Macaca mulatta: one gene and its partners. The protein of the gene in region 1 purifies or fractionates together with the protein of each later gene. This does not show direct contact. Links are inferred from orthologs where the notes say so. Each region holds a gene or a part of one and is shown in the gene's direction. Other genes may lie near its edges.

What was found.
Region 2: the proteins of EAPP (region 1) and RUVBL2 purify together in Homo sapiens (affinity purification with mass spectrometry; 3 studies listed by BioGRID and IntAct, with this or other methods). This does not show direct contact. The link is inferred for Macaca mulatta from reciprocal best matches to the Homo sapiens genes EAPP and RUVBL2.
Region 3: the proteins of EAPP (region 1) and ECD purify together in Homo sapiens (affinity purification with mass spectrometry; 3 studies listed by BioGRID and IntAct, counting the BioPlex papers as one, with this or other methods). This does not show direct contact. The link is inferred for Macaca mulatta from reciprocal best matches to the Homo sapiens genes EAPP and ECD.

Annotation. Positions count from the first base shown.
Region 1 is NC_133412.1:107,651,646-107,655,825, reverse strand, and holds the start of EAPP (E2F-associated phosphoprotein), read left to right. Parts: upstream 1-1,318; 5' UTR 1,319-1,391; coding exon 1,392-1,465; intron 1,466-4,180. UniProt on the Homo sapiens protein: May play an important role in the fine-tuning of both major E2F1 activities, the regulation of the cell-cycle and the induction of apoptosis. Promotes S-phase entry, and inhibits p14(ARP) expression.
Region 2 is NC_133424.1:61,467,762-61,470,715, forward strand, and holds part of RUVBL2 (ruvB-like 2), read left to right. Parts: intron 1-82; coding exon 83-201; intron 202-2,954. UniProt on the Homo sapiens protein: Possesses single-stranded DNA-stimulated ATPase and ATP-dependent DNA helicase (5' to 3') activity; hexamerization is thought to be critical for ATP hydrolysis and adjacent subunits in the ring-like structure contribute to the ATPase activity.
Region 3 is NC_133414.1:76,420,249-76,423,899, forward strand, and holds part of ECD (protein ecdysoneless homolog), read left to right. Parts: intron 1-3,079; coding exon 3,080-3,186; intron 3,187-3,325; coding exon 3,326-3,512; intron 3,513-3,651. UniProt on the Homo sapiens protein: Regulator of p53/TP53 stability and function. Inhibits MDM2-mediated degradation of p53/TP53 possibly by cooperating in part with TXNIP. May be involved transcriptional regulation. In vitro has intrinsic transactivation activity enhanced by EP300.

The DNA of each region.
Region 1 (4,180 bases):
GTGGAATCATCACGACCGGGGACTAGACCAAGAATGGGCGCTCAGGAGGGTTCAGGAAAATGTAAACAAACTAGGAACCCATCCAAGGGGTGACAGGCCCAAATCCCTATGGGTCTCCAAATGGTAGAAAAATTAGAAAACGATAGTGGAAAAATCCAACCACGCAACCTAACTTTAAACTAGGAATGACAGTAATGTTCATTCACATTAGAAAGGCCGACAGTGTTTGTAATATAACTACTGGCGACAGTATCCTATTTGTATGCCAACTTTCATCTCAAGTATTCTACTTTTCTTTCCCCACAGACAAACAAGTGTTGTTCTTTACAGCAGACCTCTTTCCCTCTACATACCAATCTATCCACTCGCATAACTACTAAGTGGCTCACTGGTATATGTCTCATGCTTAATTGGCTGAGCTAGGCGTGGAATCCTGGAAACCACAACAGACTGTACTTTGCTCCTGTATTTCAGGAATAACTGTCGCTAACCTGCCTCTGTCCGATTCCACCTTCTATGAAGTACACACAGAGGAGCAGTTCATTCTTTTGTAAAGGGATTGGTGGACTTTGTTCGAGATGCCATTTCAAAAGAAACGAGAAAAAAGAAAAACTAAGACCTGCACTGTAAAGCATTATATAGGAGTAGATTTATTACAGCTACTTCACATTTTAGAGAGTGCTACGGTGTCTCAGTAGGAGGCAGGAACCCGAGTTCCTCGTTCAGAAACAGGGTTGGAAACAGTCTCCCGATGGAGATCAAGTGGCTGTCATCTGCCTGGTCTCCTCAAGTATCGAGTGGGATCAGTTGAGGGCTGAGCAAAAGTGGGGACTGGGAAGATGACGAGAAAATATAACTTTTCGGTAGATTGTCGAGGCCAAAGTCAGACTGAGGAGTGAACAGTGTGAAGGAGCGGTTGAGAGCCTCACGGTGTGGAAGGCATAAGGGTTAGAGGCGAGGTTGGCGAGATGCGGGTGCTGGTGTCTGAGGACCTATTGGATTTCGGGCCGTGTGTCCCTCAGCGTCTAGATTCCTGCTTCGTAGGTGATGAGACACTGCATGTAGCGTGTTCCCCTCAGAGACTACCACTTACGAGAGTGCCCATCATTATTTTTGGTGGCAAGGTAGCTGCTATTTTCCTGTAAGCAGAAGCCGCGGAAGAAAATGGTGGGATTAAGACCCGCCCCCGTCTCCGCCCCTTTTCGCTCCTGCTCCGCCCCTTCCCCGCCTTCTACGTGCCCCCCTTGCTTTGGTCGGTCTGCGCAGGCGCGCAAGGGGGACTCGGAAGTTCAGACGGAAGTGGCGTCAGGGGAGCTTTAGGGACTGGACCGGCAGTGTAAACAGAGACGCTGCAAATCGCTTGTGGATGGTGTAGGCCGCTGCAGGCCACCATGAACCGGCTTCCGGATGATTACGACCCCTACGCGGTTGAAGAGCCTAGCGACGAGGATCCGGCTTTAAGCAGGTGGGCCCCTGCCCCACCCTGGCCCCCGAGGATTTGGGTCGAGGCCTGGCTTTGATCGCCTCACTCGTTGCGCCTGCCGAGCCTATGCAGACCCTGGCGGCTCGGGAGCCTGTCGTGCCTCACTGTCACTTGTGCGAGGCTAAAGGGCTTTCCTGATGGGGTCGCGCAGCCCCGGGGGGGGGCGGGGCCGATGTCTCCTGTAGGAAGAGGGATATTCCGGAATCACGGGGGATCGCGTGTAAATCTTCAAAAGCAATGAGATCGAAACCTACCTCTACAGCTTAGTAGCAGAGTGACGGAAGGCAAGTCACTTATCCTCGATTACTCACCTGTAAAATTGAACTATAATAACGTATAGTTGTATAACCTATATAGCACAGTGTAACACACTACGTTTGTTGTGAGGCTCACAGGACTTAATGTGAAGTGTCCATCTTGAAGACTAAACTGCCATAAACAGAAATAAGGGAATGTTGAATAGCCTTTTTTTTTTTTAACGGGGACTGTTTTATGCTTGCTCTGAGCAACAGTGGGAAATCGGCCGGGCGCGGTGGCTCAAGCCTGTAATCCCAGCACTTTGGGAGGCCGAGATGGGCGGATCACAAGGTCAGGAGATCGAGACCATCCTGGCTAACATGGTGAAACCCCGTCTCTACTAAAAATACAAAAAACTAGCCGGGCGAGGTGGCGGGCGCCTGTAGTCCCAGCTACTCGGGAGGCTGAGGCAGGAGAATGGCGTAAACCCGGGAAGCGGAGCTTGCAGTGAGCTGAGATCCAGCCACTGCACTCCAGCCTGGGCGACAGAGCGAGACTCCGTCTCAAAAAAGAAAAAACAAAAAAACAAAAAACAGTGGGAAATCATAAGGTCCTTGTCTTCCAGAGGCTTATAGTATAATAAGGGTAATAAGATAAAGTACGGGCCGGGCGCGGTGGCTCACGCCTGTAATCCCAGCACTTTGGGAGGCCGAGGCGGGCGGATCACAAGGTCAGGAGATCGAGACCATCCTGGCTGACACTGTGAAACCCCGTCTCTACTAAAAATGCAAAAAATTAGCCGGGCGAGGCGGCGGGCGCCTGTAGTCCCAGCTACTCGGGAGGCTGAGGCAGGAGAATGGCGTGAACCCGGGAGGCGGAGCTTGCAGTGAGCCGAGATCGCGCCACTGCACTCCAGCCTGGGCGACTAAGTGAGACTCTGTCTCAAAAAAAAAAAAAAAAAAAAAAGATAAAGTACGTATATCTTGGCAGTGCGTTGTAGAAAATATTGACCTGAGATAGTCACAGAAGAAGGTTCGTGGTATTTCCAGAAGGGAGGTCTTTATTCTACCAGGGAAACTTGAAGCTATTTTGCCAAGAGATTTCCACACAAATTTAGTTATTTCTTAAGCTGTCAGCAAATCCTATTGTTAAACTTTAAAACATTCATTCTGTCCAAAGACGCTTTCTGTAAAGCTGTGCTTTCATTAACAACGTTGGCCAGGTGTGGTGGCCCATGCCTGTAATCCCAGGACTTTGGGAGGCTAAGGCGGGAGAATCTCTTGAGCCTAGTAGTAAAGGAACAGCCTGGGCAACATAGTGAGACCTCATTTCTTAAAAAAAGAAAAAAAATATCAAAAGAACAATGTTTCCTCATATTGTCATGGGGAGACATTGGATGCATGGGAAATCAGACTGCTGTTAAGATTTCTTTTGTGGGGAGTGAGGATGAATACCAGGATTCCCTACGAAAAAGAGTTTCAGTTAATGGGTCCTGTCTGTGAAAGGAGATATATATATGTCTTATTTATTTATTTATTTTGAGACAGAGTCTCACTCTGTCAGCCAGGCTGGAGTGCAGTGGCGTGATCTTGGTTCACTGTAGCCTCCACCTCCTGGGTTCCAGCAATTCTCCTGTCTCAGCCTCCTGGGTAGCTGGGATTACAGGCACGAGCTACCACGCCCGGCTTATTTTTTGTATTTTTAGTAGAGACGGAGTTTCACCATGTTGGCCAGGCCGGTCTCGAACTCCTGACCTTAGGCGATCCGCCCACCTCAGGCTCCCAAAGTGCTAGGATTACAAGGATGGGCCACTGAGCCCAGCCTGTTGTATCATTTCTTTAAGGAAGCTTTATAATCCTGTGACAGTTGCCACTGGTAAGGTAACTGTAAAGATAAATATTATAAAAACATAACAGTGTTATCAGACAATATTGCCTGTTGAAGGCTCTGAGCCAAATGGTTATTATTTTAAAAAGGGAGATTAGTGTTAGAGAGGTGTCTGTCAGGATTTAATTTTACACTATTTATAAGCTAATACATTGTAGCCTGTTACTGTTTCACGGTAGCTGACCGAAGACATGAGACTCCTGGGTCAAAGATAAGACTACACATAGCACAGCAAGCAGCATGAGCATCATGTTTGTGTGGCTTGCTCTTGCTTGTCAACCCTACAGGTATTATGCTGATGGTCCTAGAAGAATGCTGCACATTCAGTGGGTTGGCATCGTGGCTAAAGAATACTTGAGCTTGGAGAATCCACCTCTTTCATGGCAGACAGTAAATACACCTGCTCTTTGTCCTGGAAGGAGACATTATCTCATTCCTCAAGGTTGTTTGTTGCAAACACAATCCTGAGAAATGGCTGGAGTGAACAGTGGTCAGAACCTTGCATTCTTGGCATACTTAACTTGCATATCCAGTGTCCATGATTTATTATTGCCTTTCCCAGTAGTGCTGAAA
Region 2 (2,954 bases), on another chromosome or scaffold:
TGGCCGGGGCAGGTGGCGGGGTGGGAGTGGGCTGGGGAAGCAGGGACGTGGGTGGTGACTCTCACACACACCCCAATCCCAGGTGCTGTTCATTGATGAGGTCCACATGCTGGACATCGAGAGCTTTTCCTTCCTCAACCGGGCCCTGGAGAGTGACATGGCGCCCGTCCTGATCATGGCCACCAACCGTGGCATCACGCGGTGAGCCAGCTGCAGGGGCCTCTGGGGAAAACGGGATGCTCCGGGCAGTGGATGTGGTCAGAGGGTCCACAGGGAGCCTGTGTTGACACCTGATCAGGGAGGGACCCGTGACTGCGGTGTGCGCTCTTCCCTTACAAAAGGCGGGTGGGAGGCAGCTCTGCTCCCCGAGGAAGCCCAGAGACTGTTCTTGCTGCCTTTCTGTCTTGCTACTCCTTTGGCCCCCAAGGCTGCAGTTTTCAAACTGCGTGCGAAGCGCCCCAGGGCGCTGCAGGAAACTCACAGGAGTGCTGTGGGATGTTCTCTAATCTTGAGGGAAGCACAGTGACATCTGTTAGACACGACATAAACTACGACTGTTCAGTCACTTCGACCCAACAACTTCATTCACAGAACTCTTACTGTTGTGTTTGGCCTGAGGATGCCAGGGACAGATTCCCATGACACAGAGGGTACCATGCTCTGCTGAAGCCTGGGGACCTCGTCTCCCAGGTGTTGCCAGCACCGTGTGCGTGGGGAACTCTTAGTGTTGTGTTTGGTCTGAGGATGCCGGGGACAGATTCCTGTGACACAGAGGGTACTGTGCTGTGCTGAAGCCTGGGAACCTCGTCTCCCAGGTGTTGCCAGCACCCTATGTAGCTGGGATTATGGGCACCCGCCACCATGCCTGCTGGCTGTCTTCTCCACCTCGCCACATTTTGGCCCGCAGGAAGCAGGGGGATGTGGAGGGCAGGCAGCTCCCATAGGCTGTGATCCACAGGCTGCACCCCACCCTTGTACCCACATCCCATTGCCCGGTGCTGCTCAGGCTCAGGGCCGTACCTGGTGGCAAAGAAGGCTGGGGACTGCAGCTGTGGGCCCAGCTGAAACTGGGTGGTTGGGGTGGGCACCACAAAAGGGATGAAGCAGGCATCCTACAGAGGATGGTGGGCCGCTGTGCCTGGCTCTGTTGGCTCTTTTAACTCCTTGGATCTGCAGAAGAAGCTCAGAAGGTAGATATCACCTCAGTGCCATTTTACAGGGCAGGACAGTGAGGCCCAGTGACTTGCCCAGGTCACAAGTCTAGAAAGTGGCAGAGCCCGAATTTGGTCTCTCGGTGGCTGGACACTGGAAGAGACCCCCAGCGCTGATGGTGTTTTCACAGAAACCGCAGGTCAGGGCCTGGGGACTGCCCAGGGGCACCTCCTGTGGGAGGCAGCAGCTACCAGCAGCCCTGGTTGTTTGTAGACTCTGTATCTGAGAATCTCCTTGCTTGCTAAGATTTATTTGTAATCCGCAAGTAAATATCTGCCCTGCTTTTGACCACAAATTCGAGTCACCTGACACCCACTTTCCTAGCTGAGTGTGAATGAGGCAACACTGGCTGCTTCCTTTAGCTCATGCTGTAAATAAGTGTCCTTGTTGTATTCTATTTAGTGCTACGTTTTCACTTTCGTTTTTTGAGACAGGGTCTTGCTCTGTTGCCCAGGCTGGAGTATAGAGGCATGATCATGGCTCACTGCAGCCTCAGTGCCTGCCACACACACATACACACACACACACACCACCCCTGGGGCTCAATCAATCCTCTGGCCTCAGCCTCCTCATCAGCTGGGACCATGGGCGTGCACCACTATGCCTAGCTAATTTTTGTTTTTGTTTTGAGGCGGAGTCTAGCTCTCTTGCCAGGCTGGAGTGCAGTGGCACGATCTTGGCTCACTGCAAGCTCTGCCTCCCGGGTTCAAGCAGTTCTCCTGCCTCAGTCTCCCGAGTAGCTGGGATTGCAGACACCCCCCACCATGCCTGGCTAATTTTGGTAGTTTTAGTAGAGACGGGGTTTCACCATATTGGCCAGGCTGGTCTCGAGCTCCTGACCTCGTGATCTGCCCACCTTGGCCTCCCAAAGTGTTGGAATTACAGGGGTGAGCCACTGCGTCCGGCCTAATTTTATTTTTTTATTTTTCATTTTTTATTTTTTACTTTTGTATTTTTTTGTAGAGATGGGGTTTTGCCATGTTGCCCAGGCTGGCCTACAACTCCTGGGCTCAAGCAATCCGCCTGCCTCAGCCTCCCAAAGTATTGTCACATTTTTGTGCCTTTTTAAAAAAAAAAACTTTTTGGGGCCATTTGTTGGTGATATTGCCATTTGCAATGTCCCCTGTGTACAGTGCTGAAGTGCTGTCTGGTATTCTGAGTGCAAGGAGGCTGTGATGCCGGACGGAGGAAATACCGTGCTACAGACGCTTCGCTGAGCCCAAGTTAGAATGCTGTTGACATGAGCTCCATGTTAGAGAATAAACAGTGATATTACATAAACACATGAAAATAGAAACACACATAAATGAGGCCAAGTGCAGTAGCTCACTCCTGTAATCCCAACACTTTGGGAGGCTGAGGTGGGCAGATCACGAGGTCAAGAGAACGACGAGACCATCCCAGCCAACATGATGAAACCCCGTGTCTATTAAAAATAGAAAAAATTAGCTGGGCATAGTGACGTGCGCCTGTAGACCCAGCTACTTGGGAGGCTGAGGCAGGAGGATCGGTTGAACTCGGGAGGCGGAGGTTGCAGTGAGCCGAGGTCATGCCACTGCACTCCAGCCTCACAACAGAGCGAGACTCCGTCTTAAAAAACATAACAGAGGCCGGGCGCGGTGGCTGAAGCCTGTAATCCCAGCACTTTGGGAGGCCGAGATGGGCGGATCACGAGGTCGGGAGATCGAGACCATCCTGGCTAATACGGTGAAACCCCGTCTCTACTAAAAAAATACAAAAAC
Region 3 (3,651 bases), on another chromosome or scaffold:
GGCTAATCTTTTTGTATTTTAGCAGAGACAGGGTTTCACCATGTTGGCCAGGATGGTCTCAATCTCCTGGCCTTGTGATCTGCCCTCCTCAGCCTCCCAAAGTGCTGGGATTACATCTCTACAATATTTTTAAGTTACATGATAAACCTATACCCTTTTTTGTCAATTAAAAATAAATAAATAGGCCGGGCGCATTGGCTCATGCCTGTAATCCCAGCACTTTGGGAGACCGAGGTGGGCGAATCACCTGAGGTCAGGAGTTTGAGACCAACCTGGCCAACATGGTGAAACCCCATCTCTACTACAAGTACAAAAAATTAGCCGGATGAGGTGGTGGGCACCTGTAATCCCAGCTACTCAAATTAAAAATACACAAACAAATAGCCAGGCACAGTGGCTCATGCCTGTAATCCCAGCTACTTGCTGAGGTAGGAAGATTGCTTGAGCCCAAGAGTCAAGGCTGCAGTGAGCTGTGATCATGCCACGCACTCTAGCCTAGGCGACAGAGTGAGACCCTGTCTTAGAAAAAGAAAAAAAAGAAACTATGCACAGAGATACTTATGTGTTGAGTGAGTGACATAATGCTGACATGATTTGTTACATAAATTGATGGCACCCTGTCTGAACTATTAAGAATGGACCAGATCAAGTTGTATAAAGGACTTGCTTTAATTGAATAAACATTTGCATATCTTGCAAAATCACATAGGTGATGGGGAACTGTCTCTACTCTGTATTATTAATATGTAAACATTACTAGGAGAGAGAAAAGAATAACCCAAATAATCATAACAAAAGGCAAAATAAAAATCATTGTGGAATATCAATGCTAAAGAGAGTCATAGTGAGAAGGTAATAAACTTTCACAAAGGTTGAAGCAGAGAAGTTAAAAAAAGAAAGATAATGGAAGGCTTCAGGGAGGAGGTATTTCAGTTAAGTCTTAAAGAATGAGGATTTTTTTTTTTTTGACTGTGTCTTGCTCTTTTTTTTTGAGATGGAGTCTCGCTCTGTAGCCCAGGCTGGAATGCAGTGGCGTGATCCCAGCTCACTGCAAGCTCCACCTCCCAGGTTCATGCCATTCTCCTGCCTCAGCCTCCCAAGTAGCTGGGACTACAGGCGCCCGCCACCATGCCTGGCTTTTTTTTTTTTTTTTTAGTAGAGATGGGGTTTCACTGTGTTAGACAGGATGGTCTCGATCTCCTGACCTCGTGATCCGCCCGCCTCGGCCTCCCAAAGTACTGGGATTACAGGCGTGAGCCACGGCCCCCACCCAATGGAGTCTTTCTCTTGTCGCCCAGCTTGGAGTGCAATGGCATGATCTTGGCTCACTGCAACCTCTGCCTCCTGGGTAGTACAGACTTTGCAAGAGTTATAGAACTTCCCTGGGCTCTGGTTTTCTCATCTGTAAAACAGGATTATTACCTTCTATAATAATGAGGAGAGGACTCAATAAGAAAATGTATTTAAAGTGTTAGCATAGCATTTAATACATGCTAGATAAATTTTAATTGATACTTTCCTTCTGGATCTTCTTTTCTTTATATATAAAATACATATGTTATATGTATGTCTTTATGTATTTTTAGTACGTCTTTTATATGTATATGTACTATTAATATAATACAACTCTTTCTATGTACATATATATACATATAGACCCTGTCTATACATATATGTATAGAAAGAATTATACGAGATCAGTGGCTTCATAATGATGTTCCATGGAGCCTGCTTCAGAGCCAAAAGGGAAGGCAAATTGTGTAGATCTCTGAACCTCTATCCTCCACTTGATTTATTTTTATTTTATTTTATTTATTTATTGAGACGGAGTCTTGCTCTGTTGCCCATGCTGGGGTGGCTCACTGCAACTTCTACCTCCCGGGTTCAAGCAATTCTCCTGCCTCAGCCTCCCGAGTAGCTGGGATTACAGGCGTGTGCCACAATGCCCAGCTAATTTTTGTATTTTTAGTAGAGACGGAGTTTCACCATGTTGGCCAAGTGAACTCCTGACCTCAAGTGATCTCCCCTCCTTGGCCTCCCAGAGTGCTGGGATTACAGGCATGAGCCATCGTGCCTGGCCTATCCTCCACTTTAATTAAGGCCATTTTTCTTTGAGCCCTTCTATATTTTAGAATTCCTGGTAAAAGTTTTTTTTTTTGAGAAAAAGGGATCTGTAACCTAAAAATATGCTTAAAAACAAATTAGAAGGTTGGGCACGGTGGCTCATGTCTGTAATCCCAGCACTTTGGGAGGCCGAGGCAGGGGGATCACGAGGTCAGGAGTTCGAGACCAACTTGGCCAATATGGTGAAACCCCATCTTTACTGAAAATACAAAAATTAGCCAGGCGTGGTGGCGCATGCCTGTAGTTTCAGCTACTTGGGAGGTTGAGGCATGGTAACTGCTTCAACCCAGGAGGCAGAGGTTGTGGTGAGCCGAGGTCGTGCCACTGCACTCCACCCTAGGTGGCAGAGTGAGACTCTGTCAAAAACAAACAAACAAACAAATTAGAGCCAGGTGTTTTGGCATGTACTTGTAGTGCCGGCTACTTGGGAGGCTGAAGTAGGAGGATCACTTGAACCCAGGAGTTCGAGTCCATTCTGGGCAACAATGAAACCCCATCTCTTTATTTTTTTTATTTTTATTTTTATTTTTTTTGAGACGGAGTCTCACTCTGTCGCCCAGGCTGGAGTGCAGTGACGCGATCTCGGCTCACTGCAAGCTCCGCCTCCCGGGTTTACGCCATTCTCCTGCCTCAGCCTCCCAACTAGCTGGGACTACAGGCGCCCACCACCGCGTCTGGCTAATTTTTTGTATTTTTAGTAGAGACGGGGTTTCACCATGTTCGCCAGGATGGTCTCGATCTCCTGACCTCGTGATCCGCCCGCCTCGGCCTCCCAAAGTGCTGGGATTACAAGCATGAGCCACCGCGCCCGGCCCCCATCTCTTTAAAAAAAAAAAAAAAAAAAACTCCCCAAATTAGACTAGCTAATCCCTTCCAACTTTAAAATACTATGTATTTATGATTACTATTCTAGGTTCTCTTATGAAGAAATACTCATGTTTTTTATTTTTCATAGTTCTCTTGCTATGAGCCCTGGTGAAGAAATCTTAACCTTATTACAGACAATACCATTTGATATAGAAGACCTTAAGAAAGAAGCAGCTAATCTTCCTCCAGAGGATGGTAAGTGATGGACCAGGATACAGTGGAAGGGTTAAAAAAAAAAAAATTAAAATGTTCTTCTAAGTCTCACAGGATCCTCTCCTAAGAGGACTTATCATGTGAATGTAGAATGGCAATATCATGCTTTCTTCTTTTTCAGATGACCAGTGGTTAGATCTCTCACCAGATCAGCTGGACCAGCTGCTGCAGGAAGCTGCTGGCAAAAAAGATTCAGAGTCTATTTCCAAGGAGGAGAAGGAGCAGAACTATGACTTAACTCAAGTCTCAGAGAGCATGAAAGCTTTCATATCCAAAGTCTCAACCCACAAGGGAGCAGAGCTGCCTCGGTAATTTGTGTTAAAGTATAAATATATAAATAGTTAGAACCCAAATGTTGAAGTCATAGTCATTGCCATTTCCACTTTTTTTTTTTTTTGAGTAAATGAGTTGTACAGATTTCTTTCTTTTTTGTGCCTAGTATGGTGA